Linked DNA regions of Astyanax mexicanus. The protein of the gene in region 1 purifies or fractionates together with the protein of each later gene. This does not show direct contact. Links are inferred from orthologs where the notes say so. Each region holds a gene or a part of one and is shown in the gene's direction. Other genes may lie near its edges. The genes, in order: pomk, tmem59, lrp6 and ghitm.

Region 1 (7,821 bases):
TACCGGTTTAGTAAACAACTAGAATATCCATAGGGCATGGCAAATATCTTGGAACAAGATAATATTTCCATGCCCCTTGATATGTGGCATGTGTTATAAGATTTCTTAAATAAAAAAAGTTCTATAAAAAATAATAAGTATGTTTTTTTGTTCATCTTTTTTTCCTAAAAGTGACTGAATCCACTGAATTATGAAACTGCAAAAAGTCAGACTATGCATATAGACTTTAATACGTAATAGACTACAACCTTAATTCCAAAAGTTGAGACAATGTGTAAAATGTGAATTAATTTAAATAAACACAGAATGCAGTGATTTGCAAATTTCATAGACTTATGTTTTATTCATAGTACAACAAGGAAAACAAATCAAATGTTGAAAGTGAGACATTTTTCCATTTTATGGAAAATGTATCTAATTTAGAACTTGATGGCAGCAACACATCTCAGAAAAGCTGGGACGGGGCAACAAAAGGCTGGAAAAGTAAGTGATACTAATAAAAACAGCTGCAATAAGAGCAGTTCAGTAAACTGAGGTAAATTGGTAAGGTGGCTGCATTGACCCATGGTTTCGTCTTTGCATGAAAGAGATTAAACTTGCATTCCTGAGCTCAAGCAGTGGTTTCCAGTACAAAATCAAAGCAGTGCCACCTGAGGACCCAAAGATCACCAGCATCCAATACTGTTGTTGGCCTTGTCCCTTAATGACCTTATGTCCTGTAAATGATGGGATATGCAATGTACCTGCAAATTTCTGTTGAGAATTTTTTTTTTGGAATATTACAGATCTGTGAACCTTTACCCACCTTTGCTTCTGAGAGTCTCTGACACTTTAAAGTGCTCTTTTTATACCCAATGAGTTAGTCGCAGATTGCTTCTATTGCAGCTGTTTAGTTTTTTGAGATATGTTGCTGCCATCAAGTTCTAAATAACTTAATACTTCTCATGAAATGGTAAAAGGTCTGACTTTCAACATCTGATATGTGTTCTATTTTATGGGTCTGTGAGAATTGCAAAGCATTGCATTCTGCATTTTTTGGAATGGGGATATTAGACACACCTTTATATTTACTGTTGGGTCTGAACAAAAGCCAGCAATTAATGCCCTGCTTCTATCTGACACACCCACCTGCTCTAGGTTTATTTATACTTTGTTGATTGTTTCAAGAAATCTTACACATTCTCTAGGGTTATTTTAATATTTATCAGTTCTTTTTTCTGGCTGTTTGAGGCTAAATATGAAAATAGAAAAAATAGTATTTTATTTATTTGGTGTAGTATATAAGAAATTGTTTTTTAATTAATTTCCCAATTTTCTAGTTTTCCTTAATGCCCTCACAATCTAAAGTTCTTGGGAAAATGAAAAAAATAATCTTGATTTCCAAATTTCCATTTTTTCATGTTTTAACAAAGGTTTATATTTAACAAAAGATTATACCATCAAATTAATAAAGGAAAATCAATGTTTTTTTATTATTTTTTGGGGGGGAAATTCAAAATGTGAGGGCGAGAAATTAACAATTAAAAAATTGAAAAACAATTGGAAAATATTTTTTTACTGTACCAAATGCGAGTAGTATGTTTAAAATGTTTAAAAGGATAAAAAAAACGTATACCTAATTTTCTTATTTATTTTAGGTGAGAAAATTGAAGTGATACTTGTTACTCTGAGCCCGCAGCCCCGTCACTCACCCCGTACACTCGGGCCAGCGAGTTGAAGAGCATCTGTCCCGCGCTCACTTTGTCCCTCACTCCGCGCACTGTGCCGTTCTTGCTGCGGATGGTCACGCGCTTCCCGCTGAACAGGCTCTCCTTCGCTCCGCTCGCGTACAGAAGCAGCTCGTCAGGCTCGCTCCCGCTGTCGTCCGCGCGCGCTCCCGCCGGGACGCTCAGGTGGCTGTTGGCCTCGCTGGCGGCGGGCGAGGCCGCGCGCTCGGGCTCGGAGCTGCCGGTGGTGTCCGAGTCCGCCGGGTCCTCAAACGCCTCCTCCCGAAAAACCTCCGCCAGCACGCGGCCGGAGCGCGCGGACGCCACGCGGAACCGAACCCTGCGCTCCGTGCGGGTCCCCGTCTCTCTCTCCATCAGCAGAAACACACACACACACCAAACTACATCATTCTAACGCGCTCGTGTGTGTGTGTGTGTGTGTGTGTGTGTGTGAGAGAGAGAGAGAGAGAGAGAGAGAGAGAGAGAGAGAGAGAGAGAGATAGAGAGAGATAGAGAGAACGAAGGTGTCAAGTTGACACCGAATGTGTTAATATTGAATGAAGCTGATCCATGGAGACGAAGAAAACAGACTGAATAAAAAATAACGAACAAATTATAACAGAGAAGCTCCAAAGACCCGTGAACTTTATTTAAATTAAAATAAAATTAATTTGTTTATTAAGTATTTAATTTATTTATCAATTTATCATTACTACCACAACTAGCAGCCTCTTGCCTGATCTGTGTATTTACAGTGGTGACTGTTTGTTTGTGTGTTTGTCAGGATGCTGTATGAGTAATACTATATTTACATCTCTGTTGTAGAGAGATTTCTGATATTAAAGCTCTGAACAGATTGAAAAGCCGCTGCAATCTAAGTTTCCATGTTTTACTGAGTTTCACCATCTCGCCACGTTTTTACTGCTTGACTTTACAGCAGCTTCAGCCCATCGTGTCTGTAGTTACAGATCCATGAATATTTTGGAAAGTAATTAAAATATTTTTTGAAAAGGGATTCGAATCTTGTTTAAAGTGTTTGGAATATTTGAAAATAGTCATTCAAATATTCTTAGAAAGTAAGTGAAAAGTGTTTTTGAACATCGTAAAGTAATTTACACATTTTCGTAAGTGATTAAAATCTGGTTTAATTGACTGTAATCACTTTATAGTGCTTTTGTGCCTCTCTAAGTGATGGACCGATGGATGGATGGATGGATGGATGGATGGGATCATTGGCGTAGGAACCGGGGGGGATGGGTGGGACATGTCCCACCCAATATTGGAAACTGGTGGATTTGTCCCCCCCAAAAATTATATCGTTTCGCTCAGATCAGCTGTACTATTAATGAGGAGACAGACCGGACCAATCACGGAGCCGGTTCAGGTATTAAGTCCCGCCTCTCAGCACGAACAGCCAATCAGTTTGCTGGTTTTGCGGCCCGCGGTGTGCTAGTGGGGGAAGCCCCGCCCCCTCGCTGTGAGATTTAGCAGCGGGATCGGGCTGCAGCAGCTTCAGCTGATTAAGATCTGGATATACGGGGATTTTTCTAAAAGAAAGGTAACGATAGGCTAACCACATAAACTGTGATGATGTTTCTGATAGCTGGTTAAAAATACAAGACTCTAAATCAGCACACAGTTTAAACCCACTGTGATTAATAAACTGCAGCTGTGTGAGTGAGTTAGCTTAACTTTGGAATTAGATAGATTGGAAGTCAACGTTAAAGAAAAAATAAACTATATACGTAATGTTCAACTTGCCCTGTACCTGATCAGCTAATTACTGTTTCATTTTTAAACTGTCTTTATTAATTTAGGATTACAGGATTTACTGTGAGCAATAATGAACAAAAATTCATTTAGTTAACTAGTTATCTAGAAGCCAGATAGTGGATAGTCAGAATTTAGTACAGTACTTTATGTTTGTAGTTTAAAGCAGTTTCTTAACCCTGATCACTGCCCCAAAATTGTGTTTTCCACCTGATCCAGCTGATCAGCTAATAAACAGTCATTTACTGAGTTTACTGAGTTTAATCATGTATATCCAGCAGTGTATTAGACACATCATACCACCACTTACTTTATTAAATGTCTTTAAAGCAGAGAAAGCTCTAGAATATGTAGAACAGTGTTAATATTCAGTAGAATATGTAAGAACAGGGTTCACAGTAAGGCCACATGTCCTGACGTTTATAATTAAAATCTTTATGAAACGTAAAGTTACATTCTTTTACATAAAAGGACACCAATCTTTAGAAGAGCTCTTAATAAAAAAATAAAAGCGTAGGATTTTTTTTAAAGAGTGGAGAAAATGTAAATATACAACAGAATTGACATGCCAATACATGATTATAATAATAATAATAATAATAATAATAATAATAATAATAATAATAATAACCAAATCTGTTATATTATTTTAAATATTAGGTGATAACTGATCATTTTTGTCATATGTATATGTATTTGCATAATTTTTTCTTACAACAGTAAATGTAATGTGAAGTAACATGTTTAGGTTGTAAAATCACCTTGTTAACTAATAAAAAACAAAATACAGAAAAAAAAATATTATTTGTGATTTAAAGTAATTTCCACAAATGTTGTTCTAAGAAACTATAGGGTGGGCTTGGGTTCATATTGGCAAATGTGTCCCCCCCAATATCAAACCTGCTCCTACGCCCTTGGATGGGATGGTGGTGAGCTGATAAGGGAGCGACTAAACAGACCGTCTTTGTGTCGTTCTGAGCTTGTCCTACACATCACCACCACTTTGAATTATGGTATCATGCATGATATCATAATAATGCATGATACCATGCATAAATTCCATGGGAATTCTAGTGTGCCTCGTCTGTACATTTTGTGATGCATTATGGGTATTTTATGTTGATTTATATAGGTGATACAATGTACTGTTGGGATTTCGAACAGCACTACAAAATGATGGACTCACTAATGGTTTATACTCTAAAAGCAGCTCAGCAAAGTAGCTGCCATCTGGCACCGGATCATCCAGGTAGAAGGCGTGTGGTAATGAACAGTATTTACTGCTAGATGGCAGTGCAGCTCTCAGATCACAGTTGAACTGGTAAATCTCGTTTTAAAGAAGAAGAAGACAGAGCAGGATGAATACAGTGGTGTAGTTAGACAGTGAAGCTTAATCAGTTACAGAATGTAGCAGCTGAACTTCAATCCTCGTAGGAATGGTTGAGTGACTGGTGGACTTGATTATGAACACAGCGCAGTGCGGTAAGTGTGGTGGAAACAATGTTTAGCAGATCAGAGCTTTTAGTTTCTGCACTAAACAATAACAAGCCATTTAACTAGTGGGTTAGTAAAAAGGCTTCAGTTTAAAGAAATTTGCTGACTGTTTATACTTTCATTTAGTTTTATAGGAAACAAGATTCATAATGTCTAACTTAAAACATAAGCAATATTAAATAATATATATATGAAGGTTATAAATGCCCAGTATGAAAGTAGCTGAAAGTAGATGATTTAGCAGTTGGGGTTGGATCTTTGCCTGCCGGGAGACGGGCGGCAGTGGTGGGTCTGCGTGACGTCACCCGCCAGCCACTTTTTCATCGACCCGGCAGTGCCAGGCACGTACCCGGCAGTACTAAAAACTGACAGGGGGCTTGCTGACAGTACGCCGGCAGTTTTAAAAACTGTCAGGGAGCTTCCTGACAGTACGCCGGCAGTTTTAAAAACTGTCAGGGAGCTTCCTGACAGTACGCCGGCAGTTTTAAAAACTGTCAGGGAGCTTCCTGACAGTACGCCGGCACTACTAAAAACTGTCAGGGAGCTTCCTGACAGTACGCCGGCAGTTTTAAAAACTGTCTGGGAGCTTCCTGACAGTACGCCGGCACTACTAAAAACTGTCAGGGAGCTTCCTGACAGTACGCCGGCAGTTTTAAAAACTGTCAGGGAGCTTCCTGACAGTACGCCGGCACTACTAAAAACTGTCAGGGAGCTTCCTGACAGTACGCCGGCAGTTTTAAAAACTGTCAGGGAGCTTCCTGACAGTACGCCGGCAGTTTTAAAAACGGTCAGGGAGCTTCCTGACAGTACGCCGGCACTACTAAAAACTGTCAGGGAGCTTGCTGACAGTATGCCGGCAGTTTTAAAAACTGTCAGGTAGCTTCCTGACAGTATGCCGGCACTGCTAAAAACTGTCAAGGAGCTTCCTGACAGTACGCCGGCAGTTTTAAAAACGGTCAGGGAGCTTCCTGACAGTACGCCGGCACTACTAAAAACTGTCAGGGAGCTTCCTGACAGTACGCCGGCAGTTTTAAAAAATGTCAGGGAGCTTCCTGACAGTACGCCGGCACTACTAAAAACTGTCAGGGAGCTTGCTGACAGTATGCCAGCAGTTTTAAAAACTGTCAGGTAGCTTCCTGACAGTATGCCGGCACTGCTAAAAACTGTCAGGGAGCTTCCTGACAGTACGCCGGCAGTATTAAAAACTGCCAGGGAGCTTCCTGACAGTAGGGGGCTTTCTCACAGTACGCCGGCACTATTAAAAACTGTCAGGGAGCTTCCTGACAGTACGCCGGCAGTATTAAAAACTGTTAGGGAGCTTCCTGACAGTATGCCGGCACTACTAAAAACTGTCAGGGAGCTTCCTGACAGTACGCCGGCAGTTTTAAAAACTGTCAGGGAGCTTGCTGACAGTAAGCCGGCAGTTTTAAAAACTGTCAAGGAGCTAGCCTAGGATGGACTCTTTCATATGGGAGTGGACCTGTTTTGGCATTATGGAAAAATCATGAGAAATTTAATTTTAAGCATGAATAATACAAATAAATAAATAATATAAAATAAACAATACAGTGAAATTTGCCCAAACTTGCAGGAGTCAAAGCCTAGGACAGACTCTTTCAAATGGTAATGGAACTGTGTTGGCATTATGGGAAAATCATGAGAAATGTCATTTTAAGCATAAAAAAAAAAAAAAAAAAAAATTATATAAAATAAACAAAACAGTGAAATTTCCCCAAATTTGCAGGAGTCATAGCCTAGGATGGACTCTTTCAAATGGTAGTGGACCTGGTTTGGCATTATGGGAAAATCACAAGAAATTTAATTTTAAATATGCATATACTATATATATGTTTATATCTATATATTTTTGTAATTAATATAAAATAAACAAAACTGTGAAATTTGCCCAAACTCGCAGGAGTCATGGCCTAGGACATACTCTTTCAAATGGCAGTGGACCTGTTTTGGCATTATGGGAAAATCATGAAAAAAAACATATTTTAAGTATAAATAAAAAATAATAAAATTTATATAAAATAAACAAAACAGTGAAATTTGCCCAAACTCGCAGGAGTCATAGCCTAGGACAGATTCTTTCAAATGGTAGTGGATCTATTTTGGCATTATGGGAAAATCATGAGAAATTTAATTTTAAACATGAATAAAAAAAACAATAATAATAATAATAATAATAATAATAATAATAATAATAATAATAATAATAAAAATATAAAATAAAAAATACAGTGAAATTTGCCCTAACTTGCAGAGGTGACAGCCTATGTTGTACTCTTTCAAATGGTAGTGGACCAGTTTTGGCATTATGGGAAAATCATGAAAATTTTTATTTTAAACACGCATACAATTTTTTTTATTAATATAAAATAAACCATACAGTGAAAATTGCCCACACTTGCAGAAGTGATAGTCTAGGATGGACTCTTTTACAAGGTACTGGATCTGTTTTGGTTTTTTGGGAAACTCATGAGAAATTTAATTTGAAGCATGGATTGAAAAAAGTAATATTAATATAAAACTCTCTCTCTCTCTCTTAAACACTGATGGGATATTATATCAAATAGATAATGTACTGCACAAAATATACAGTGAGGTGAGTTATTTTAATCCGTTTTTTCTCGTTTCTGGGCTTAATGTATGAATTAATGAATAATTAAGCCCAATTAATTCTGAATTAATATAATAGACTGAAACGTGTCGGTCTCCCGTTCTCTGTGTTTTTTAAGCGTGCTCTCCGCCTGCGCGGCTGTTTACCGTAAAATCGCACGTATACGCGCATCTAAATTTAAAGCCCGGATGACTTGACTGAGAATTTCCGAAGCGCGGATAGCTT
Region 2 (7,952 bases), on another chromosome or scaffold:
ATATCATGAATCCAAATCCAGCAAGCTGTCGGAGATGAGTGAGGAGAAGCGAGCTAAACTGCGGGAAATCGAGGTACGCCTTACATTTCTGTTTAGGATTGAAGTTTTGAGAGTTGGCTCATGCAAATGGTGAAATGAACAGTGTCAACAACCAATATATAAAATATATGATATGTAAAATACCTTTCGGTAAAAGCTGAAGTCTAATATATTTTTGACTAAAAGCTAATGTCCAAAATCGTTTGAGTAGAAGTTCATTTTTTAGCCTTTAAACTTCTTTAAAAGTCTTTGCATACATTTAGCAGCTCAAGGTATTTGGCAATAAAATGGTAAGAGAAAACAATGCATAAAAAGTAAATATTATCTAATCTAAAAGAAGACAAAATTAAGTGACAAAAAATTGGTATGTGGAACTTTTTTTATATTTAAAATATATTAAGATTTTTTTTGTTTGTTTTTGTAGAGTAATGGTGTGTGCAGTGTGGAGGGTTGTAATGGTTTAGTAAATGTTTCCCTGAATTACAGTAATAAGGAAACACTCTACGTTTTATAACGTCTGGATATTGATAATGTTGCCTGAATAATTCAGAAAGCATTACCAGCTACTCTTCTAGGTCTAATCTCCCGTTGCTCTGCTGTTTACATATGTTTTACATTAAACGCAAATTGTAAAAAATCCAATAATGTTTGTTATTCACAGCCAGAGGTGTCTGTATTGTTACATCCCTAGTCTGTGTGTGCTGAACTGCTGCATCCATTAAGCATATCATTTTTTAATCTATTTGTTGAATAAACCTGTGCTTTTGTTGCAGCTGAAAGTGATGAAGTTTCAGGACGAGCTGGAGTCTGGAAAACGGCCGAAGAAATCGGGACAGAGTATTCAAGAGCAGGTGGAGCTCTACAGGGACAAGTTACTACAGAGGGTGAGATACAGTTCTCAGAACTTTTCCTGTTCTTATAGAACAGAACAGACCTGTACTAAAGGGTTCATCTTTATCTCTTTTAGGAAAAGGAAAAGGAGGTGGAGAAAGATAAAGAGAAGGAGAAAGAAAAGAAGGAGAAAGAGAAATCTGAAGTGTCGCACAAAGAGAAGGAGAAGGAGAAGGAGAAGGAGGAATCTTCATCAAGCAGAAAAGAGAAGTAAGCTGCATTCTGGAAAAACAACACCAAGTCTCAGTTTAATAAATGGCAGTTCACCTGCAGGATGGATGAGATTGAGGACACTGATGTGCTTCACTAAATATTAAACCAAATTTATTTCTTAAAATTATATTAATTGTCCTAATTGGATAATCTGGAACCCAAAAATAATTGTTTATTCAGTGTTCAGTTGTGCTTATATGTGTTTAGATATACCTGAAACTGATCTGTTCCGTTTGACTGTATTATAAATAAGTGGGAAAGAAAGTGTACCAAAGTGTCGTGAGCTTTTGTTTTATAATACTGTATCAATTCTTAAACACCATATTTATGGCTAATTATTAGTTTACATGTAAAGATTGGAGTTTGAAGTGATTCATTTTGTTTCGTTTAAACCCTGTCCACTAGATAGCTATGTTTTACTCTGTCATTAGATCCCACTGTTCTGATTGGATAAGTAAAGTGTCAGGCTGTGTATTGGCAAGAACCTGACTAGGCGATATGATGTGGCTCTATACTGTGATACTGTAAGAAAGGCAATACATACAAAGTTTTTGTCTAATTTTAGAAAAACTGTCATAGTACAAACACTAATATTTATAAAGCAGAGTAAAATTAAAGTTTACTTTTTGTGAATTAAAATATTTAGTGGATGGGGATTAAACACACAATAAATGAACCACTTCTGACACCAATCCTGTGTAAACTAAATTAAAGATGCTGTGTTTTTGAAAATCGATACAGTTTTGCACAACATGGTTCTGTGTATTTTTGCATGTTCTTCTTGAATGCTGTAAATTATTTATGCAGATTTGTTTTATATATCAAGTATGTGATGTTTGCTTTCTCTGGTTCATCAGGAAGCGCAGGCACAGTCCCTCCCCCAGTCCCACCCGCAGTAGCTCCAGCCGGCGTGGCCGGTCCCCCTCCCCACGGTCCGAGCGCTCAGACAGATCCTACACCAAGGACAGCTCACGCACCTCCTACAAAGACTCGCCACGGGAAAGCAGCCGGAAAACCTCCAAAAGGTCAGTTTACACTTAAATATAGATATATTAAACACAGAGTGAGCGTTTATTTCTTATATTGTTAATTTTCTGGTAAACACTGCACTGACTTTGGACTTGATGATAAAACACAGTGGATCAACAGCAGCAGATGACATGTCTCTCCAAACCATCACTGATCATCAGTAAATCTACATTTCATTTGTAAATTAAGGGAGCAGAGTCTGGAGGAAGAGTGGAGAGAGAGACAGTCCAAACTGCTCGAGGTCTAGTGTGAAGTTTCCACCAATCAGTGATGGTTTGGAGAGACATGTCACCTGCTGGTGTTGATCCACTGTGTTTTATTATCAAGTCTAAAGTCAGTGCAGTTTTGTTTTCCCACTAAATCTTACAGCACTTCATGCTTCCCTCTGCTACTGACAACTTTTATGGAGATGCAGATTTCATTTTCCAGCAGGACTTGGCACACTGCCAAATGTACCAATCAATCCTCTATTATAGTCTAATTTTCTGAGACACTGATTTTTGGAGTTTCTTTGACTGTTGAACATAATTATCAGCAATAAATAGATTTTAAACAGATCACTGTGTGTAATACATCTTTATAATCAGTTTCATATTTTGTACTGAGTTATTGAAATAAAGTAACTTTTCAAAGATATTCTTGATAATTCTTGATGATAATTTTTTGAGATGCACTAGTATATCTTTCATCAGACTCTTCCACTTCGAGTCTATTTACGTACCCTCCTGCAGACTCTTCAGCCAGTTCCGTGCCGTTTCAGTGCTCTCCATCACACTCTTGAATTTACCCTCTCTCTCTCTCTCACTTTGCAGGTCGCCTTCCCCACCCGCTACACCCAAACGGTCCCGCAGATCCAGATCAAGAACGCCCAAAAAATCCTCCAAGAAGTCCAGGTCCCGCTCGCGATCGCCACACCGCTCTCACAAAAAATCCAAGAAGAGCAAGCACTGAAGCACAGCTGCAGCTCCAGAACAGCTGGATTCTCTTTTTGTGCCTGAATTTCGTCCTGTAAATCCGTGTGGGATTCGTTCCCCATTCAGCCTCTTTAAGTCCCTTTGACCACTCCCGTCTGCACGTGTCCAGTGTCCTCACAGGTCTACACAGGGGTATTTTATATTGTGAATAAGGGGCTTCCTCTGACGTCTTAATTTCGCACAGCAGGAAAATAAGAGGCGACGTCTCAGAACTATGGTATTATTTTTGGTCATGGTTTTTAGATCCCTGCAAAATGACTTAAATTAAAATAGTGTGTATGTTTTCAGTTGTATAGTTGTTTTGATTTTCAATAAAGACACAGCTTATGTGACTCCTCTGAGATGTATGTTTTGTAAGTGATTGTAAACTGATATTTACAGAAGTGTATATATTTTTTTTTACTGTGATTTGTTGTACAGTTTCATGATTCAGGGTGATTGAGTATAGAACAACCATGGTGACCATACCTGTGCTGTGAGTACAGAAAGAATTTGCCTCTGCTTTTAATCCATCCATGAAGTTAACACACACAGTGTAGTGCTGGACAATAATTTAATATCTATATTTATTATCAGTTACAGTGATATAATAGATATGAGGGATAATACACATCCTATCAAACAGTATAACTTATTCTATATAATCAACATTTATTCTGTTAACATAATTCATTAAGAAAACTAATTGTTTTAGCTTGGCTTTTAATTTAGCCGTTAGCCATCTCCATTGACGCCATATAGTTTCATCCGTTAATTAGAAGCAAAAATCTAAACATTAGTCTCTTTCTCTTGAGTTTGTATAAAATATTTCTAGTATAACAAAATAAAAATATAATCGCAAAAAATAAACAATATACCACTCAACTAAAGTGTAGCATATTTAGTGTGTGAAGAGTGCAAACAAAATTAGTAAAGTAAATACTGTAAATAGCAAAACAAATACAAAATACACTGCTTTGTAATGATATTTACAGCACACAATGATGTACATTAGTGGATATAGAAGTCCAAGGCAAAAACATTTTGACAGGGCCTGACGGATATGATATGGCACTCCTCTACTTCTGATTATGATAGTCAAAATAATTTAAAGCTAAGGTTTTTATGGCCAAAATGCACAGTATTCTGATAATGGCCCTTCTATATGGAGCCAACATGCATATATGGATAAAAAAGGCCCCATAGTTATCTGGGTCACTCACTGCCTAATATATTAAACCCTTTACAGCAGATGTGTTTAAAGTCTGAGACTGGGGTCCAGTGCAGCCTGTGGATGGATATTATTGCCCCTCCGTCTCTGTTTTAAGAATTGAAAAGTGACCCAGGATTACATTTATGTTGTCCTTTCACTTCACAGTGGCTGCAGTAAATTAAACCACACTGTTATGGACGTTAATTCCTCTGACTGATTGCAAATCCAGTTATTTACAGAACAGCATTTAGTAATTGCAGTAAAAAAGCATCACCAACATTAGATTTTTTTATTCCTAATATCCTGTTAGATACTTCGATACTACACATCTCTGCTTATAACTGGAGTTTTAAAAGATTTTACAAGCAATATCTGGAATTCTGAAACATTTGATGTAGTGTTCTGTGTTGAGAAAATCAGTAATGTTTAGTATAAAAATGATTAAAGTTGTAAAAACTGTATAAACTCTGATTTTTCGTAGTTTTTCCATTGAAACCCATTCATTTTGGTCTCACTCTGCAGCGCCCCCTGGTGTCTGCTCTGTAGAAGTTCTCTGGATTAACACGCAGCGCTGATGTTTGTTAAACACTACAGGCGGAGCTCTCGCGAGATCTCGCGCTGCCGGAGTCGGAAGAGGAGCGGTGTTTGGAGCCGCTGTTTGTTGTTGTTTGTTTATTAGGTGTTTATCGCGGATCCTCGGGCAGAATGGCGGGGTTTCTCGGCGCAGCGCTGCTGGGATTTATCTGGGCCGCGCTGCTGTGCTGCTGCTCGGCGTCGGCCGACGTGTTTGACGGGGTTTTGGGCAGCACGGCCTCCTGCCACAGAACCTGCAGGATGACCTACAGCCTGCACACCTACCCGCGGGTAACTCGCATAACATACTAATAAACCGGCGATCAGCTCATCTATAACACCGATTTCTCACCAATACCAGCCTTAATCAATACTCACATCACTGCAGCAGCGTCGCCGAAACACCAGACTGAACCGTGCTGTTATTACTTAACTTCTTCTTCTTCCACTTTTCCATTCCACCTTAAATTCTCCTGCACTTACACTGTTGCATGCTGGCGCCTGCACTGAGCTGCTGCTGTAACTGCTGAGGGATTTAAGGTGGAACGGATAATTCTAGTACGCAGTACAGTATTGTTTTTGTTGAACTACTTTAAAGCCTTTATTAATGTTTAATAATTATTTTATGAAGCTCATAAGGTTTTAAGCTAGCCAAAGTTATGTAAGCTAGAAAAAAAGCAGTATTAAGAGATAAATATATAAAATCGTTTAACATGTTTAATGAGTTGTTCTATCAGTTTAAGGCAAAATTTATGAAATAATGCATTTTTTCTTGTATAGTAGAAAAGGAATGTAGTTATATTTTTTTCTATTTTTCATTTTTTAATTTCTAATCCCTTTTAATCTCACTTAAAAAAAAAACATTATTCACTCAGTTCTCCATTTTGAATCTTGTAAAACAATCTAGTGGTGTAATCCAGCCTACTTTTTTGTTAGGAGATGTAATGAGAAAACAAAGAAAAAACTTTTTTTTCTAAAATTCCGAGTATGGAAAACAATGGAAGCAATGACAATGGAAAACTAGAACTTTTATAAAATAGATGAAAACCCATTTATTCTTTACTGTAATAAATAAAAAAAGGAATTTATTTTTGTTTTTGGAATTCAGCCTGGAATTGATGGACAATACATGTAAGATTTTTTTTATTGAGGGAGTTATATACCTTTAATTGTGCAAATATTATTTTTCTCTCTGAACTCTTTAAGAGCTCTGTAGCGTCTGTAGAGTATTTTATTCAGTCGGCTGTCTTTAAATCGCAAAGAAATTAAATTTCAGGGATATATTTATGACTAATTAATTAATTAAAAAATTAATACATATAAAAGTAACTTTAATATTAATATTAAGTAATATTTAGTAACTGAGTAAATACTTTTAGATAAATATTAAATAATTTACCTAATTTTAAGAAGTTTATGATAAATTCAAGCGCCAAATTATTAACTTGAAAGATTAAATTATTAAATGGAGGTAGTTATATATTTAAGGAAGGGGAATATTTACAAAATTGATTCTTTATACACTTGACTGTCTTTAAATCGGGAACAGAAACATGTTAAATAAAGGAATCAGGTTATTGAATTGAGAGGAAATATTTACTTAACCGAGGAACAATTTTGATTTATTAGGAATTCTGTTAATATTTCTTTAAGAGAAGAATGTCTTTATTCATTCTTTATTGATGTGTTGAGGGATGAAGTGTTTAACTGCTTCCATTATATAAAGTGGGTGTGTATTATGTAAACATCTGTGTTCCGGGTCTCTTTCTTGGTGAAAAGAAACTCAAATAATGACCGTCTAATATGAACACGCACTTTTATTATGTGTGTTTTATCCACCAATCAGAGGTATGATTCATTGTGATAAAGGGCTTTCTTTTTTTTTTCCAGCAGTTCTTCCTCTACCTGGTTGTACAGAATTATGGTTATATATATATATATATATATATATATATATATGTGTGTGTGTGTGTGTATGTATGTGTATATATATATATATATATATATATATATATATATATATATATATATATATATATATATATATATATATATACATACATATCTATTTACATACATACCTGCATATGTAAACTCCTCTGTAGTTGTTCAGGATGGTAATGGTGTGGAATGAGTCCTGAGATAACTAAGTGTGCTGTGTTGTTTTTCTTGTTTAGGAGGAGGAGCTTTACGCCTGTCAGAGAGGCTGCAGACTCTTCTCCATCTGCCAGTTCGTTGGAGACAGCGAGAACCTCAATCAGACCAAATCCGAGTGTGATTCTGGTACGCTCACTCCTGCACCGGTCTTGAGCTTTTTATTTTTTAATTTTAAAACTGGTATTTTTCTGCTGCTCTCATTAAAAACTAGAAATTAGAATTTACGGGGGAATCCTATAGCAGTCTGGGTCTCCATCAGCAGCCAGAGTCTGAGATAGCACAATGTACCATGCTCTCTCTAGGCGGGTAGGTGGTGCTCTGTCCCCAGGCGTTAGCTGTTAGCTGATGTATCAGATCTAGGGTTGCGGCGCTTTCCTCAGCGTGGAGTAAAAGTGAATTACACTTGTCACCTGCAGAGGGGGAGGCCAGAAGCAAACAATACCAATTGTTATATAATACTGCATTAAATCTGGCTTTGGTAGTGTTTTAATCTATTTTATCTGTGTGTCAACATATAGTGTATTGTGATGCTATGTATTTGCCATATCGCCCAGCTCTGTATGATTTATATTACCCTCAGTTACTCTCAGAGAGAATGTGAAATGTGGATTAAGAGTGTAATGCTTTTGTTATTGAATTTGGGTTATGATAATCTTTATTTAATTATTGTTTCTTTAATTATTTCTATAATAATTCTCATTATTTAAACAATGCTTCATAACCAATGTGACTTAATTAATCGGTGTGTTCCTGTTTTGTCTCCTGGCTTCTGCAGCGTGTCATGAGGCCTATAGTCAGGGAGATGAGCAGTACGCCTGCAGTCTGGGCTGTCAGAGTCAGCTTCCATTCGCTGAGCAGAGGCAGGAGCAGGTAATGACTGAAGA
Region 3 (6,894 bases), on another chromosome or scaffold:
ATTACTTTGTAATCTCACTGATTGACTGAGGTAAGATATGATTGTTGTACATTTTGTGTAAATATTTTACCCATATTTTGTGTTTTAAATCACTTGTAAAAGATTCTGTTGTCTCTTCTTTGCATACACTGCACACTTTCCAAGTGTAAAGGTCTCAAATATTCAATGTTTGAAACACTGGAATTAAAGTCTGTTTAAAGTACTCAACTATTTCAATACTGTAATTTCAGATGGTTATAATGTGTATTATTATTATTATTATTATTATTATAAATAAATGGGGGGGAACAAACTAAAAAACAATCATTTGCAACAAAAATATCGGCTTTATATATATCGGCATCAACCATTAAAAAAACAATATCTAAACAATAATTTACAGCATGACAATTCACTGGTAACCTCCCTAATTTATCAAGCACAGTGTATTTTCCAGCAGACCCAATAGAGCTAGATAAACTAACCGATTGTTTAGAAAATAGGGTAGCACCACTTCAATACAGAAAAGAGACACAGAAAAAGCTTGCCCCATGGTACAATGATCAAATGCGTACTTTAAAGCAATTAGTATGAAATTTAGAGTGTAAAAGGCCATAAACCTTTTACACTCTGGAAGTGTTCCACTTTGCTTAAAAGGACAGTATTGTTTAATAGATCTGCTCAGAGTATCTGGCAAGATTGACATTAATAAAAACAATCCTTGAGCTCTCTTTAGTGTTATTTCCAAACTGACTGAAACCAGGCAGGTACTGAAACTCAGATTGCAGCCATTCACACCAGCAAGGCTTTTATGGACTTGTTCAATAATTCAATTTCAAATATTTGAAAAATTAATCAACAGATAAATAGCACATCCAGAACAAAAGCCAGTTAGGTTGGAAGCCTTTAACTCAAACAATCTGCTTCATACCGCTGTCCAAGGCTGTGTTTCCCTGCTGGTACTTCTTGATCTGAGTGCAGCCTTTGATACAAGAGATCATACTATGCTTCTAGAAAGTTAAAGAACATGGTCGGTGTAACTGGAACAGCCATATCATGGTTTAAATTATATTTACGTGATCATTATTAGTTTGTGAAGGTAAATTATATACCTTCCAATTATGATTTAAATCTTCCAGATATAAATTATCAGACTTACATTTATCTCACACCTGGTTCATCAGCTAAAAATCTTGGTGTTGTCATGGATTCAGATCTAGAATTTGATAAACAATACTCTAACCAGAACAGCTTTCTTACAATTCAATGACATTGAAAGGCTAAGAAATGCCTCATTCTTGCACAGACAAATTCCTATATGCCTTCACTAAATCAAGGTTGGACTACTGTAATGCGCAACTGTCAGGATGTTCCAGCAAAACCTTAAATAAACTTCAACTTCAACTGGGAACTGAAATATGCCAGTTGTCAGAATTAAGAGGAGTTTAGCAAGGGTATTTCAGCTCTGGAATGACCTTCCTGAAGATGTTCGGGTCTCAAATACTGTCTTAATTGTTTAGGTTAGCTATTGGTAATTAATGTTTCCTCTTAGATAAAGGCTGCAGATCCAGGATACAGCCTGCCTGATTCACATTTTCTCTGTTCCCCATAAATCCAGTCAAAACTATTTCCAACTTTTTGCCTTTGTCCGAGTTACTGACTGACCACCTGTGACTGGCTGGCTTGAAATTCACCAGAGCAACACAGGTTGCCACTGGAATCCTCTTCCACTCCCCCATGATTAAAAAATCAGCCAGTCCATCCCCTTTATCTTTAGCTTCCTCAGCAAGGCAGATGTAATTTTTGAGGTGTGTTTGGGATAGAAGGGAATCATGCTCTGCATTAAAATATCACAGTTTATGTACACTAATTCAGCTCCCCAGTGCTAGCAGCACTTATGCTGCCCAAGACCATGATGCTACCTCCACCATGCTTGAGGGTAGACAAGGGACAGTTCTCTTGGTAATCCTCTCCATGGTGCTGCCACACATGCTAGACACCGTCTGAGCCAAACATGTTTGTATTGTTCTAATTAAATCACAGGATATGGTTCCATTAATCCATGCTCTTGGACTGCTTGTCTTCAGCAAACTGTTTAAAAGCTTTCTGGTGCTGGAAAACTGCTGTGTGACCTTGGCCACCATGCTGTTTCAGGGTGTTAGCATTTTTTATAGCTTAGATCTTTGTGAAGAGCAACAATTATGTTTCTCACATTCTCATTTAATTTCCATGAAGTGGATTGTTGAATATCCAGTGGCCAGAATGAGAGAATCCCCCCCAAAATCACACCTGGAACTCTGGAACTCTGAAACTCCAACAAGTCACATGACACCAGGGAGATACAGGGGGACAATTGGGCACAATTCTTCACTGTTAGGCGCACTCATTTCTGTTGCAAGCTATTTAGACATTAATGGCTGTGGGGAGTGTTCAGATGTTTTAGGAATACAGTAAATCTTTACAAGCTGTACATGGACTACTATAATTTATATCCACGTTTCATTTCTATAGGGTTCTCCCATGAAAAGATAAAATGAAATATTTGCAGAAATGTGAGGGGTGTTTTCACTTTTGTTGGATACTGTATGCTGCACTTGCACTGGTATTAGTAATAGTTTTGGATGCACCCTGTGTTCCCTTATATGTAAATTCCTCTTACACCAGACAAAACAACAATGTTTTGTTAGTAAATATTTTTTCTGTTTTGCTAGAAATATTTTCTTAATATTTTGGTGTGATTTTTTGAGAAGGGTATAGCTGCAGCCTCGGAGACTGCAGTTTTAGGACCCTGCAGTTTCAGGACCGCAGTTCTAGGACCCTGTTTTCGCGACACTGCCACCTAGCGAAGTGGTCGTGGACACGATGGATTACACTCCGAATGAGAGTTCGGAATGTGAATCAAGTTTTATAGCCTAAATTTAATGTATTAAAACATTTTTGTATCTCTTTTGAGATCGTTGAGATCCAGGTAAAAATAAAAATTATGAAGGACAACACATTATCAAGAAACTCTTTTAGAAAACAAAATGACAACACAAATGGCATGTCACAAGGAATTATTGTTTTAGGCATTTACAGTGTGATCAATTTGCTCACTTCCAATTCTAGGGGCGGGGCAAGAGCGCCAGTGTTCCAGCTGAAATCTAAATGGCCCACTAAAGTGCCCTTGTCCTGTTAATTAATTTGTCTATGTAGAGTAAAAATGCACGTAAAATTGTCAGGATATTTGTAGAGTTGCGAAAAGTTTTACACAAAATTATAAAATCTGCTATCAGAATTGCAGATAATACACATATGGACACAAATAATTAAGCAAAAGCAACTAAGAGACAAAAACACAAAAATAAAAGCAGAGGCTGCCAAAATACAAACAAATAATTGTTCTAATTTAATAACTGCAAAGAATAATAAAGTAACCAAATATATATATATATATATATATATATATATATATATATATATATATATATATATATAGTATATATAGTTACAAGTACAAGTATATATAACTTTTGGCACAAAAATAACTCCATAGATAACTGTGTTTGAAATACTTTCAAGTGTTTGAGCCTGGTGTGACTGATGAAATAATACTTGGAATTTGCATATAGTCTCTTTTATGATATTTACAATACTGTAATAACAATGCTATGGCTTAAATGTTCTTGCTTTACCACCCATGTTGATTTTTTTTAGACTCAGTTAAAGGGAATTTAAGTCACTCGGTTTGATCCTCAGCAGTCTAATCGGGGTATACCCGCTGCTTTACTGCTCAAACTTTCTTATCCAGCTCTGAAGCGGCTCGTCTGGACTGGTGACCGTTCTGTACTCTCCACACCAGCGTGTGAGCCCTCGGCACTGACTCGCAGATGTGTGTGTGTGTACACACGTATACACGCGCACACACACACACACAGGTCGAAGCACCAGACCATTCCGTGAAAAACTAGTCCCGTCGGAATGTGTTTCCCATGCTTTAAAACAAGCGGGCTGAACGCACGGGTCCCGCGCTTTGGCTGAAATTCCACACTGTCGGTTACGGCACAGACGGGCGGCTGAGGTCCGGTGTCTGTGTTTTTAAGATAAACCTCGTATCTGACTCGGGACACTCCGGTACAAACAATAGACAGCGGTCGGGTGATTTCAGGGAGCATTTCCTGCTGGCGGAAGGACACGGCTCGAGAGGCGGCGAGTGGCTGCGCTCCGGCGGCAGGATTTTTCGTGGAGGGGGGAAATCGTAGCGCCGCTGAAGCTCGAGAGAGGAAAGAAAGAATGGAGCGGAGAAAACCCGCGGCCCCGGTGGCTTTATAACAGCACTTCCAGCTGAAGTCTCTTACCCTAAACCCTCGAATCACTTCTGCGCGGGCAGCAGGACACAGCCATGCGAGCCCCGCGCTGAAATCCGGCCGCAGAGAGGAGCAGAGGCGAGAGAACGGGGGAAAGATGGGCGCCGTGCTGCGGAGTCTCTTTTTGTGTAGTTTCTGTTTGCAAATACGGGGTGAGTTTGGACTGTCGTCCTTTTCTCGTTGGGAAGTGTTTGGGTGTTCTGAACTGAGCGGTGTGCTCGTTTCTCTCTCCAGCAGGCAGATAGGTGTTGGTGGTTTAGTTGGTTTACAGTGTTCCAGTAGTGTCCCAATATTTCAGCGAGCTTCACTCCGGCGGGGAGCAGACGGAGCTACTGCACTAGCCTGAGTGCTGCTGCTGCGGGGGAGCGTGTAGCCCAGGCCGAGCTGCAGCCCGTTTTTTTTTTCAGAAACTTGAAGCCACTAGCCCAGGTACCAACAACACGAACCAGACCGTGTTTTACTGCTTTACCACAGAGCAGGGAAGCGTTCCCGTAGGTGATCTGCGCCCGGCTGGAGCGGAGAGTTAGCCGTTCTGCTCGTATTGTTGTAGCTAGTCTGGTTGTTGTGCTGCTAGCGCTGGCTAAAGCAGCTCCACACTTTCAGCAGAGACCCGACTCTGATCGAATAATGTTGACCGAGAAACGACAGTAAACGCGAGTCAGTTAACTTACTCAGTGTGTTTTTGTCCGCAGTGAGAGGGGAGAGTTCACTGTCTGAAGGTTAAATCTGAGCTAGGTAACTAACGTTACAGAATGTTTGCTAACAGCAGAGCTCAGCACTGAAACTCTCAGGGTTCTGCAGTCAGTGATGGATCAGGGATGTCGTGGCTTTCCCGAACTTGTCAGCACCAACCCCACTAAACTTTCACTAACGAGGCCCTAGACCTTATTATTGGGTGTTTTGTTTTTTTAAGGTTTTAAGGCAACATTACTATTAATAATAATAATAATAATAATAATGATAATAATAATAATAATAATAATAATAATTGTGAGATTCATTGGCGTTTTATTCTCCTTAACATGTAATCCTTAATATTCTTATGAAACGTTCAAATACATATTAAACGTATCGTTTAAAAGTTCACGGTGATCCACAGTTGATTATCAAAGATGTCTGACGTTTGTTGTAGTTATTTTTATTAAATGAGTGAAGTTGCAGAGCTGCACTTTCAGATACTTATAGCTACACATCGTCTTTTATACATCTGTTACACAGCCATTCTTTCCTTGACCTGTGCCCTGGAGTGTTGGTAAGGTAAAAAAATAATAATAATAACATTTTAAGATTTTGATTTTGTGGAGTAGTTAAAATAATAAAGGCGCTTGTAATTTGAGAGTTGTATGCTTAAAATTAAGTGTATCACAAGGGTATTAGAATTAGTGGTAAGCAGATTCTGCTTTAAAATGTGTTTGATGCTCATATTTTTCGTACTGTGTGACTGTTTAAAGCTCTTAGGTAAAAATAAAAAATTGGTAGAGAGGGAATGCCACCTTTATGCAAACAAACTGACTTTCAGAACCTGTTAAAATGTTTACAAACTAAGATGGGCTACAAAAATTATATGATCAGAAGCCAAGTATCAACTGTCCAAAAAGTGCAATACTCCCTGTATTTACACTTGGCTAGTAAGTGAAGGGTGTTGGATGGACTTCAATGTGCTGTCTTGGTGATCTGCAAGATTATAAATATTTGGGAAAGGAAATTCACAGGCCTCATGTTAAACAAAAATAACGGCAAGCAGGCCAGTCAATCGGTCAGAGACTGGGAACTTGAGGTTGCCCTCCAAAGTGATCCGCTGGAGAGCAGTGGTCAATGTGTCAAATTGGGGTTTGAGTCAGTGCCAAAACCCTGCAGAGGTAAGAGATACAGATCTGGGGAAGTTCTTAGGTCAGTTTATTTTTGTACAGGAGCCCTGTTAGCAGACACATAATGCAAACGTTTCTATAATGCTTTTAAAACTCTAGATAAGGCAGCAAATTAGCACTTCAGTCACAAATTACATTTTGCCAACTTAGTTTGATCTGAAGTTTCTTATTACTTGTTTACTGAGTTAAAGACAGAAAGGCAGAATATCAGTGCTGTTTGCTTTAGAGCTCCATTTGTTTAGTTTCTGCTGCTTGTAACAGAAGAAGGTAGCTGTGTTCTGATGTGTGGCATTGTCTGCGTGAGCTTAGGTTTACATTGTGTGCCAAGTTCGTACTGCTGACCTCAAATCAAAATCATCAAAATTATGATAAATGAAAGATTGTTTTGGGATGGACAGCATTTGGGAATGTTAATCTACCAGGCATATCAGTCACTGTGCCTCATTCACTTTAGATACTGCTTCTGTATCTCTCAGCTAGTGTAACCTGTTTCCATACGGGGAAGCCTTTGTTTAACAAGTAATTACACATCACATATTAAATTTTGTTTTGTGAAATATCTTTATATATTGGAGGGATTTTTGCTTTGCCAGGCTAATATATTTGTTGATTTCTCCCTCTCACTCTCAGCTGTGCCGCTTCTCCTGTATGCAAACCGGCGTGACCTGCGGTTGGTGGACGCCGCTCATGGGCGTGGGAAC
Region 4 (7,176 bases), on another chromosome or scaffold:
CAGCAGTCAGACTATAGCTTCGACCACTAGACCAACACTCTAACCAGCACGGGTTCTCCTTCAATCTACAAAGGTTTTCCACCGATCTAAAGAACCACGTGGGCATCCCCGTCTACAGAACCATTGTAGAAACATTTTTTGTTACAAGAGTGTGAATAAAAAACCTTCCAGATCTGGGCTAAATTGTTGGTTCTGCTGACTTTCCAGACTGGAGTTATTTTAAACTGAATCAGTTTCAGGTTCTAGATTTTTGCAGAACCCAACAAACACTGCCATCCATCCACTTACATCTTCACACACCTGTAGGTTCCTATAGGTATAGGCTGGAGGTACTGAACTGCATAAGATATCTAAATTTACTCTTACCGACCAGTTCACACCTAGACCCAATATCCTTAACACTAAACCAGTCTGAAATGAACCACTTTTTCACACAACACATACAAATACATGTGAAATATTCTTGTCATGTGCTTTATATTATATCATATATAAAAAAAAATAATGTAATTAATTCACAAAACATATAAATATTCCATTGCGCCTAAAACATTTTAACCACACTGTAACAAACATTTGAGCAATTTAATTGTAATTATTTTAACTAATTAAATTGATTGATTGATTAAATTGTTTTCTAAGCTCAACTAGAGCTTGTGGACTTTATGTTAATTTAATAAAGTGGAAATTCATTCCTGATACCACTAATGTACACAGTGGGTGGGTCTCCCTTTCTCAGTGACACCATCAGTGTGTAGTTGTGCCGCCAGGCACAACTTCTCTTGTGTATTCTATTATGCTTTATGCAAGGGTGGACTGGATACCCTCTATGTTGATGGCTATGAAAGCAAAATGCCATTTGTTGCATGGATCACTGTGTATTATACCACACTTAGTTCCGACCCTGCAATGTAATTGGCTGAGAGGCGTTTTATGAGTGACATTATCAGCCGGTAATGCACTGTAACTGAAGCACTCCATGTATTACTCTGCCACATACAGGTAACCTAGCATTGATGCAGCGTTTACAAGCCAAACAGCGCAGCTACACACAGAGCAGCAATGGAACTATTTTAACTTGCACGGAGTTTATAACCACATTGTATTACAAACACATTGTATTTAACTAAAAATCGTTCAATAACCAGCGATAATGGACACTTGAGTTTCCTGCTATAATGCACTATAATAGCAGTGCTACTGCTACGTGCTATAGCTCTCCCTCTCATGTATTATTGCTTAAATAACTCATTGTCATATTCTCTTCCATTTTTCACTTCCACCTTCAGGAATCTAAGTAACAAAGTTAAACTACTGGTTTTCTGGAACAAGTAAATAAAACTCATATTACGGAAATATTTGTATTTTAAACCTGAATTGCTAAGTTGAAACAATGTGTATTATGTAGTTAAATCACAGAACTCACAGAGAGGAGCCAACAGTCAAATCAGACATAAAGTCATTCAAATAAATGTAACTTAAAACTTTATGACTTTACTTTTAAACTTACGTTTTTGACTTTTAAACTAACATCTTTTACAGTGAAGTTGATTATCCAGAAAGCAAACGTATATGATTCATAAACATGATTTTTTCCATCTGTTATGCATTAAAACAATGTTGATCTCTGAAATCAGAAACAATTTATTTGTGCACATCAATTTTAAATTTAGAATTAATTTAATCTTATGCATTTAATATGTTGTTTGTTATAAATTTTCTTACATTTAATATGTATGTGTATCCTTAATATGTTTGTGTTCTATTCTAAGTGGGTGTAGAACTAGCCCCAGTCATTCAAATCCTTGAAATGACCATTGATTCAAAGTCAGAATTTCAACACTAACTGATGCCTGTTTGCAACATTATTTATTCAACATTGCGTAATAAGCAGCGGTTAAGGTTGAAGGTTATTTTTTTCACTATCAGTATTAAAAGATAGTAGAAGTAAATAAAAGGAGCTATAATTAACAGTTTATTCGGTGTTCTTTGATATCAGGGTAACCAGTATTTGAGATGACAGCTAGAGACCGAGACTTTTTTTTGCTGTTCCTTATTATTACCTTCCGTTCAACTCTGACCAGCTTTCCAGTCAATGCTAAAGAAAATCACCCTCACAGCATGATGCCACCACCACCATGTTTCACAGTGGGGATGGTGTGTTTAGAGTGATGTGTGATGTTAGTTTTCTGAGACAGAGATATAGAGTTTCACATTTATGCCACAAAATTCATCCTTGGTCTCATCTGACCAGATCACCCCTTCCAAGTGTTTGCTGTGTCTCCTAAATAACAGTAAGTATTGGGACTTGATGTCATCACCCACATTAGCTGGAATTAAACATAGTAATCAGCTGAATCAGGAGACTTAGGAGGTGAAATAAAAGCTACCACACTGACTCCACCTGCTGGCCACTGTCGGAAACTGCAGCAAATCTATCTTAGTCTTAGATAGATAGATAGATAGATAGATAGATAGATAGATAGATAGATAGATAGATAGATAGATAGATAGATAGATAGATAGATAGATAGATAGATAGATAGATAGATAGATAGATAGATCTCATCAGGGAGTCTCTCGGCTCGCACATTTACAGGAGAGCAACTGCAGCAAGTGCGTGTGAAGCCTCCAGCCGCGTGCAGCCGCGAGGTTTTAACGGTGCCAGTGGATCGAAATTCCCCTCACACACCTGTGATGCTGTTTCTGTTCATTGTAAATGTTTTAAAAATATATACATAAATAAACATAAATCTCTCTTTAACAAAATAATGCACATTATACTGATATTTGTGTCATTTGTAATTTAATTAATGTAAACCACACATTTGTTTAATTTTATATCTTTTAATTTATAACTGTTGCTTTGTTTTAAAATACTGCACACACAAATAAGCTTGTTTTATAGTTATATCTGTTATTATTATTATTATTATTATTATTATTATTATTATTATTATTATTATTATTGTTGTTGTTGTTGTTGTGGTTTTCATTTTAAAATGACACTGTTCAGCAGTGTAATCAATTATATCCCAGCACAGTTGATGTCATCACCCACACTAACTGGAATTGAACACAGTTACCAGCTGAATCAGGAGATTTAGGAGGTTAGAGAAAAGCTACAACACTGACTCCACCTGCTGGCCACTGTTGGCAACTGCAGAAAACCTCTCGGTGTTTTCACTCTTAGTGAATACAGTAGAAATCTGAAAAAATGAAAGATAATCATTTTGACTTTTTTTTTTACTATTATTTTATTTTATTTTATTTCTAAATGTTCAGACTACACAGAAATCATATTTTCCAGCTTTACCACTTCATATTTCTATTTTTCATTTCCTGACACGCATGCACCACCATGTTATAGCAAGCTGCATGACAGGGTGGACAATTTTAATGAAAAAAATTTAATTGCAATTTGATAAAACATGGTTGAGGTAGAGTTGCAAACATGTTAAATTGTTCATGATGACCTTGCTCTGTTTCAAAAATACATTTTTTTTTTCACCACGCCAGGGTGGACAACTTAAGTTTTATCTCACATAAGCATGGAGATAAAATGAGGAATATTGAGTTAAATTAATATAATTAATTGGTGAACATGCAGCAAGTGTCTTAAATCCCCTAAAAAATAAACATGGTGAAGGTTGTGATCTGTCACTGACAGGGCGGGTTATCTCAAGATGACAGGGTATACAGGAAATAGCTGGACATGCTTAAAAAGCATTTCCACTTTTATAACAACAACAACAACAACAACAAAAACAACAACAATATTACTACCACTACTACTACTACTACTACTACTACTACTACTAATAATAATAATAATAATAATGGCAGTAACGGTGATATAACAAGCTTTCTTGTTTGTTATTATTATTATTATTATTATTATTGTTGCTGCTTTCATTTTTAAAAGGGGGAAATGCAGACATAAATTAATATATATTTATTTTAATTATAATATATTTTTAAATATAATATAATCGTTATCAGTTTATTTAAAAAATGTTTTATTATTATTATTATTATTATTATTATTATTATTATTATTATTATTATTATTATGTAGCCAGTGTAGAAAAAAATCTATTAAATAACTTACTTGTCAATGAACTACATCTTCCACAATGCACTGCGAGCGTGGTTCATGATGTAACAGGAGAGAAACTTCCGGAAGGTCGTGACGCTTGAGTTTGCGCATTTCTCAGAGGTGAACCCAGAAGTTCAGGCTCGGTTCGGGTGAGTTTGGGATTTTAAACGCATTTTTAGTGTATTTATAGTATTAATATAGTATATAATTAGTCCCTGATATACAGTCCGATCCTGTCTGAGCGCTGTTTAATTCACACAGCTCTGTTTACACAGCTTTAACTGTTAGCTTAGCCGTGTTCTGAGAGCCTGACTAAGAGGAAACAGATCAGATCAGATTATTCTGAATATACTGTACTCTAATCAGTGGAACTGTGCGTTTTTAATGGTTTAAATTGAATTATCTTTTAGAACTGTAGTCTCCCCTCTTCAAAATCATTATACATTGTTACATCACGCATCAAAATGCTTATTCTAATGTTAAGTAATTACTGGCTACATGCCACACATGTTACCTGTGGCCAATAAGTTACATGGTTAGATATGTATTAGGTAAATTCTAATTATAGTGTATGCTATCCTAATAGAACTGTAGCTGTTTAACTGTGCTGTGTTTCTGTATGTAAGAGTCGTTGCTGTTACTGTGCAGAAAAGCCTATGCCTGTACCATAAAAAATAAGAGTATAATGTACAGCTTATAGCTTGAAGTTTTGCACCAGAAAGTGGCTTAACGTTATCCAAAAGCAGTGTGTAAGACTGGTGGAGGAGAACATGCCAAGATGCACGAAAACTGGGATTAAAAACCAGGGTTATTCCTCCTAATAGTGATTTCTGGACTCTTCTGGAAACTTGTTTTCTTTGCATTATTTAAGGTCTTAAAGCTCTGCATCTTTTTTTGTTATTTCAGCTATTTCTGCAAATAAATTTTCTAAACTACATTATTTTTATTTGTAAGAAATGTTGTCTGTAGTTTATTGAAAAAAACAACAATGTTCATTTTATTTTTACATATACATATAAATAGCTAAATCAGGGAAGATATCCTGTGTTATATAAATCCATTTTTCTACTTTTTTCTGTTTTTCTGTTCAACCTATCCTAATATTAAAACAAAAAAAATGTTCTGTCAAGATTTTATAGTACATATTCATATAGAGGTTTATGCTGTAATATAATACACGTTTTATTTCAGCAGGTAAGCTGTAGTTTGTGGAGTTTAGGTTCTCAAATAAAACAGGTTGAACCTCATATCACCACAGCTGTAGCTGTATAAACGCTCCAGAAAATGCTGAGTCATTTTGAACAGGGAGTTATGTATAGCATAGCCCCGCCCCCTCCCCACACAGGTGCTTGTTCATGGCTATTGGCTGTAGTGTCTGTTAAAAAGACACCACTGTTTATTTACATATCTTTATCTGTCTTTATCTCCAGAGGTTGTTGTTCACTACACTGATCTGAAGATGTTGGTGGCGAGGCTGGCATGCCTGCGGACTCTCCCTGTGGTCGGGCTGCGCTCAGCCTTGACCCAGGGCACCCCTGCCCTGCGGAGCTCCGCCCTCAAAACCTGCCCCCCTCTGCTGAAACCCCAGCAGGTGAGTAGAGAGTTTTTACATAAATGTATACAAACCCCTCTGCTAATCTTGTAGCTGTTTAATATTTTAGTCAGGTTTTGGTTTAAATAAGATAGTTCAGAAACTCTAAATACGTACAGTGACAGTAATCTGATTATATTGTTTTTGTTTCTGTGCCTCAGGGTTTTTCTTCCAGAGCCCGGTTTGGAATTCGGAGGAGTAAGACTGCTAAAGATCAGCTACAGGAGGCAGCGTTCGAGCCAGCGACAGACACTGCTATTAAAAGTGAATTTACACAATATGCACTCTATAATATACATAATATACCGTTATATTCTCCTGGAGAAACCTAATTGTTTATTTTCCTGGATATTTAGACTTATTGGAGACTGCATTTGACTCTACAGTACTGGTACAGAGCAAAAATAACACATTTGAATTATACAGTTACTAAAATAACCATATATAGGCAGTAAGTGTATTAGTAAAACACTAATTTTATACTTATATTATATAAATAGTTGTACTAAAGGCTGTGGTTTTGCATCGTTGGATATTTCCTAATCTTGCCCATAGTCTACAGGTTCTTGGTAAACTGCAGCTTTCTTCTTAAAAGCATTGCAATTCACACACTAGGTGCAAAGATTTGTGTATATTTTCATGTATATTTTTGTCACTTTTTGGTCATAATGTTTACTCAAGAACACAAGCTCTCTCACTCGCTTTCTCTTACTCTCTTTCACTCTCAGTTGATACCATGGGCAGGATGATCCTGGCTGGCGGAGCAGCAGTCGGAATGGGAGCGCTGTGTTATTATGGGCTGGGCATGTCCAGTGAGATCGGAGCTCTGGAGAAATCAGTGTAAGAAAATGTATAAAGTGTGCCAATCATCTGGATTAAGACATGTTACCATTTGCCATTTTATGTTTATGTTCATTATGTTATTTAAAACTGTTGTCTTTCTGCAAATCTGGACCTGTCCCAAATCAGTGAAATAAATAATATATGTTAATAAAATTTGTACAGATACAGGTTCATTTAAAAAAATTAGAATAGCATTGAAAAGGTACTTTATTTCTGTAATTCAGTTAAAATGTGAAACCCATATATTATATAGACGTATTACACACAGAGTGATCATTATTGTTGATGATAATGGCTTACAGCTGATGAAAACACATTTTTCCGGGAAAACACTGCACTGATTTTAGACTTGATAATAAAACACAGTGGACCAACACCAGCAGATGTCTCTCCAAACCATCACTGATTGTAGAAGCTTCACACTAGACCTCCAGCAGCATGTACTGTGTTCTCCACTCTTCCTCCAGACTCTGATCCCTTGATTTCCAAATGAAATGTAAAATTTACTGATGATCAGTGATGGTTTGGAGAGACATGTCATCTGCTGGTGTTGATTCACCGTGTTATATCAAGTCCAAAGTCAGTGCAGTGTTTTCCCAGAAAATCTTACAGCACTTCAAGCTTCCCTCTGATGACAGTGTGT

Evidence for each region.
Region 2: the proteins of pomk (region 1) and tmem59 purify together in Homo sapiens (affinity purification with mass spectrometry; 3 studies listed by BioGRID and IntAct, with this or other methods). This does not show direct contact. The link is inferred for Astyanax mexicanus from reciprocal best matches to the Homo sapiens genes POMK and TMEM59.
Region 3: the proteins of pomk (region 1) and lrp6 purify together in Homo sapiens (affinity purification with mass spectrometry; 3 studies listed by BioGRID and IntAct, counting the BioPlex papers as one, with this or other methods). This does not show direct contact. The link is inferred for Astyanax mexicanus from reciprocal best matches to the Homo sapiens genes POMK and LRP6.
Region 4: the proteins of pomk (region 1) and ghitm purify together in Homo sapiens (affinity purification with mass spectrometry; 3 studies listed by BioGRID and IntAct, counting the BioPlex papers as one, with this or other methods). This does not show direct contact. The link is inferred for Astyanax mexicanus from reciprocal best matches to the Homo sapiens genes POMK and GHITM.

What each region holds. Positions count from the first base shown.
Region 1 is NC_064414.1:27,798,449-27,806,269, forward strand, and holds the start of pomk (protein O-mannose kinase), read left to right. Parts: upstream 1-4,800; 5' UTR 4,801-4,958; intron 4,959-7,821. Other genes in the region: grxcr1b (glutaredoxin domain-containing cysteine-rich protein 1), read right to left, coding at 1,692-2,081. UniProt on the Homo sapiens protein: Protein O-mannose kinase that specifically mediates phosphorylation at the 6-position of an O-mannose of the trisaccharide (N-acetylgalactosamine (GalNAc)-beta-1,3-N-acetylglucosamine (GlcNAc)-beta-1,4-mannose) to generate phosphorylated O-mannosyl trisaccharide (N-acetylgalactosamine-beta-1,3-N-acetylglucosamine-beta-1,4-(phosphate-6-)mannose).
Region 2 is NC_064425.1:41,516,511-41,524,462, forward strand, and holds the start of tmem59 (transmembrane protein 59), read left to right. Parts: upstream 1-4,934; 5' UTR 4,935-5,043; coding exon 5,044-5,202; intron 5,203-7,088; coding exon 7,089-7,194; intron 7,195-7,843; coding exon 7,844-7,938; intron 7,939-7,952. Other genes in the region: U2 snRNP-associated SURP motif-containing protein, read left to right, coding at 1-73, 813-923, 1,007-1,140, 2,001-2,168, 2,985-3,123.
Region 3 is NC_064409.1:30,628,073-30,634,966, forward strand, and holds the start of lrp6 (low-density lipoprotein receptor-related protein 6), read left to right. Parts: upstream 1-3,892; 5' UTR 3,893-4,422; coding exon 4,423-4,477; intron 4,478-6,823; coding exon 6,824-6,894. UniProt on the Homo sapiens protein: Component of the Wnt-Fzd-LRP5-LRP6 complex that triggers beta-catenin signaling through inducing aggregation of receptor-ligand complexes into ribosome-sized signalosomes.
Region 4 is NC_064422.1:16,584,821-16,591,996, forward strand, and holds the start of ghitm (growth hormone-inducible transmembrane protein), read left to right. Parts: upstream 1-4,153; 5' UTR 4,154-4,248; intron 4,249-5,529; 5' UTR 5,530-5,558; coding exon 5,559-5,690; intron 5,691-5,851; coding exon 5,852-5,954; intron 5,955-6,418; coding exon 6,419-6,530; intron 6,531-7,176. UniProt on the Homo sapiens protein: Plays an important role in maintenance of mitochondrial morphology and in mediating either calcium or potassium/proton antiport. Mediates proton-dependent calcium efflux from mitochondrion.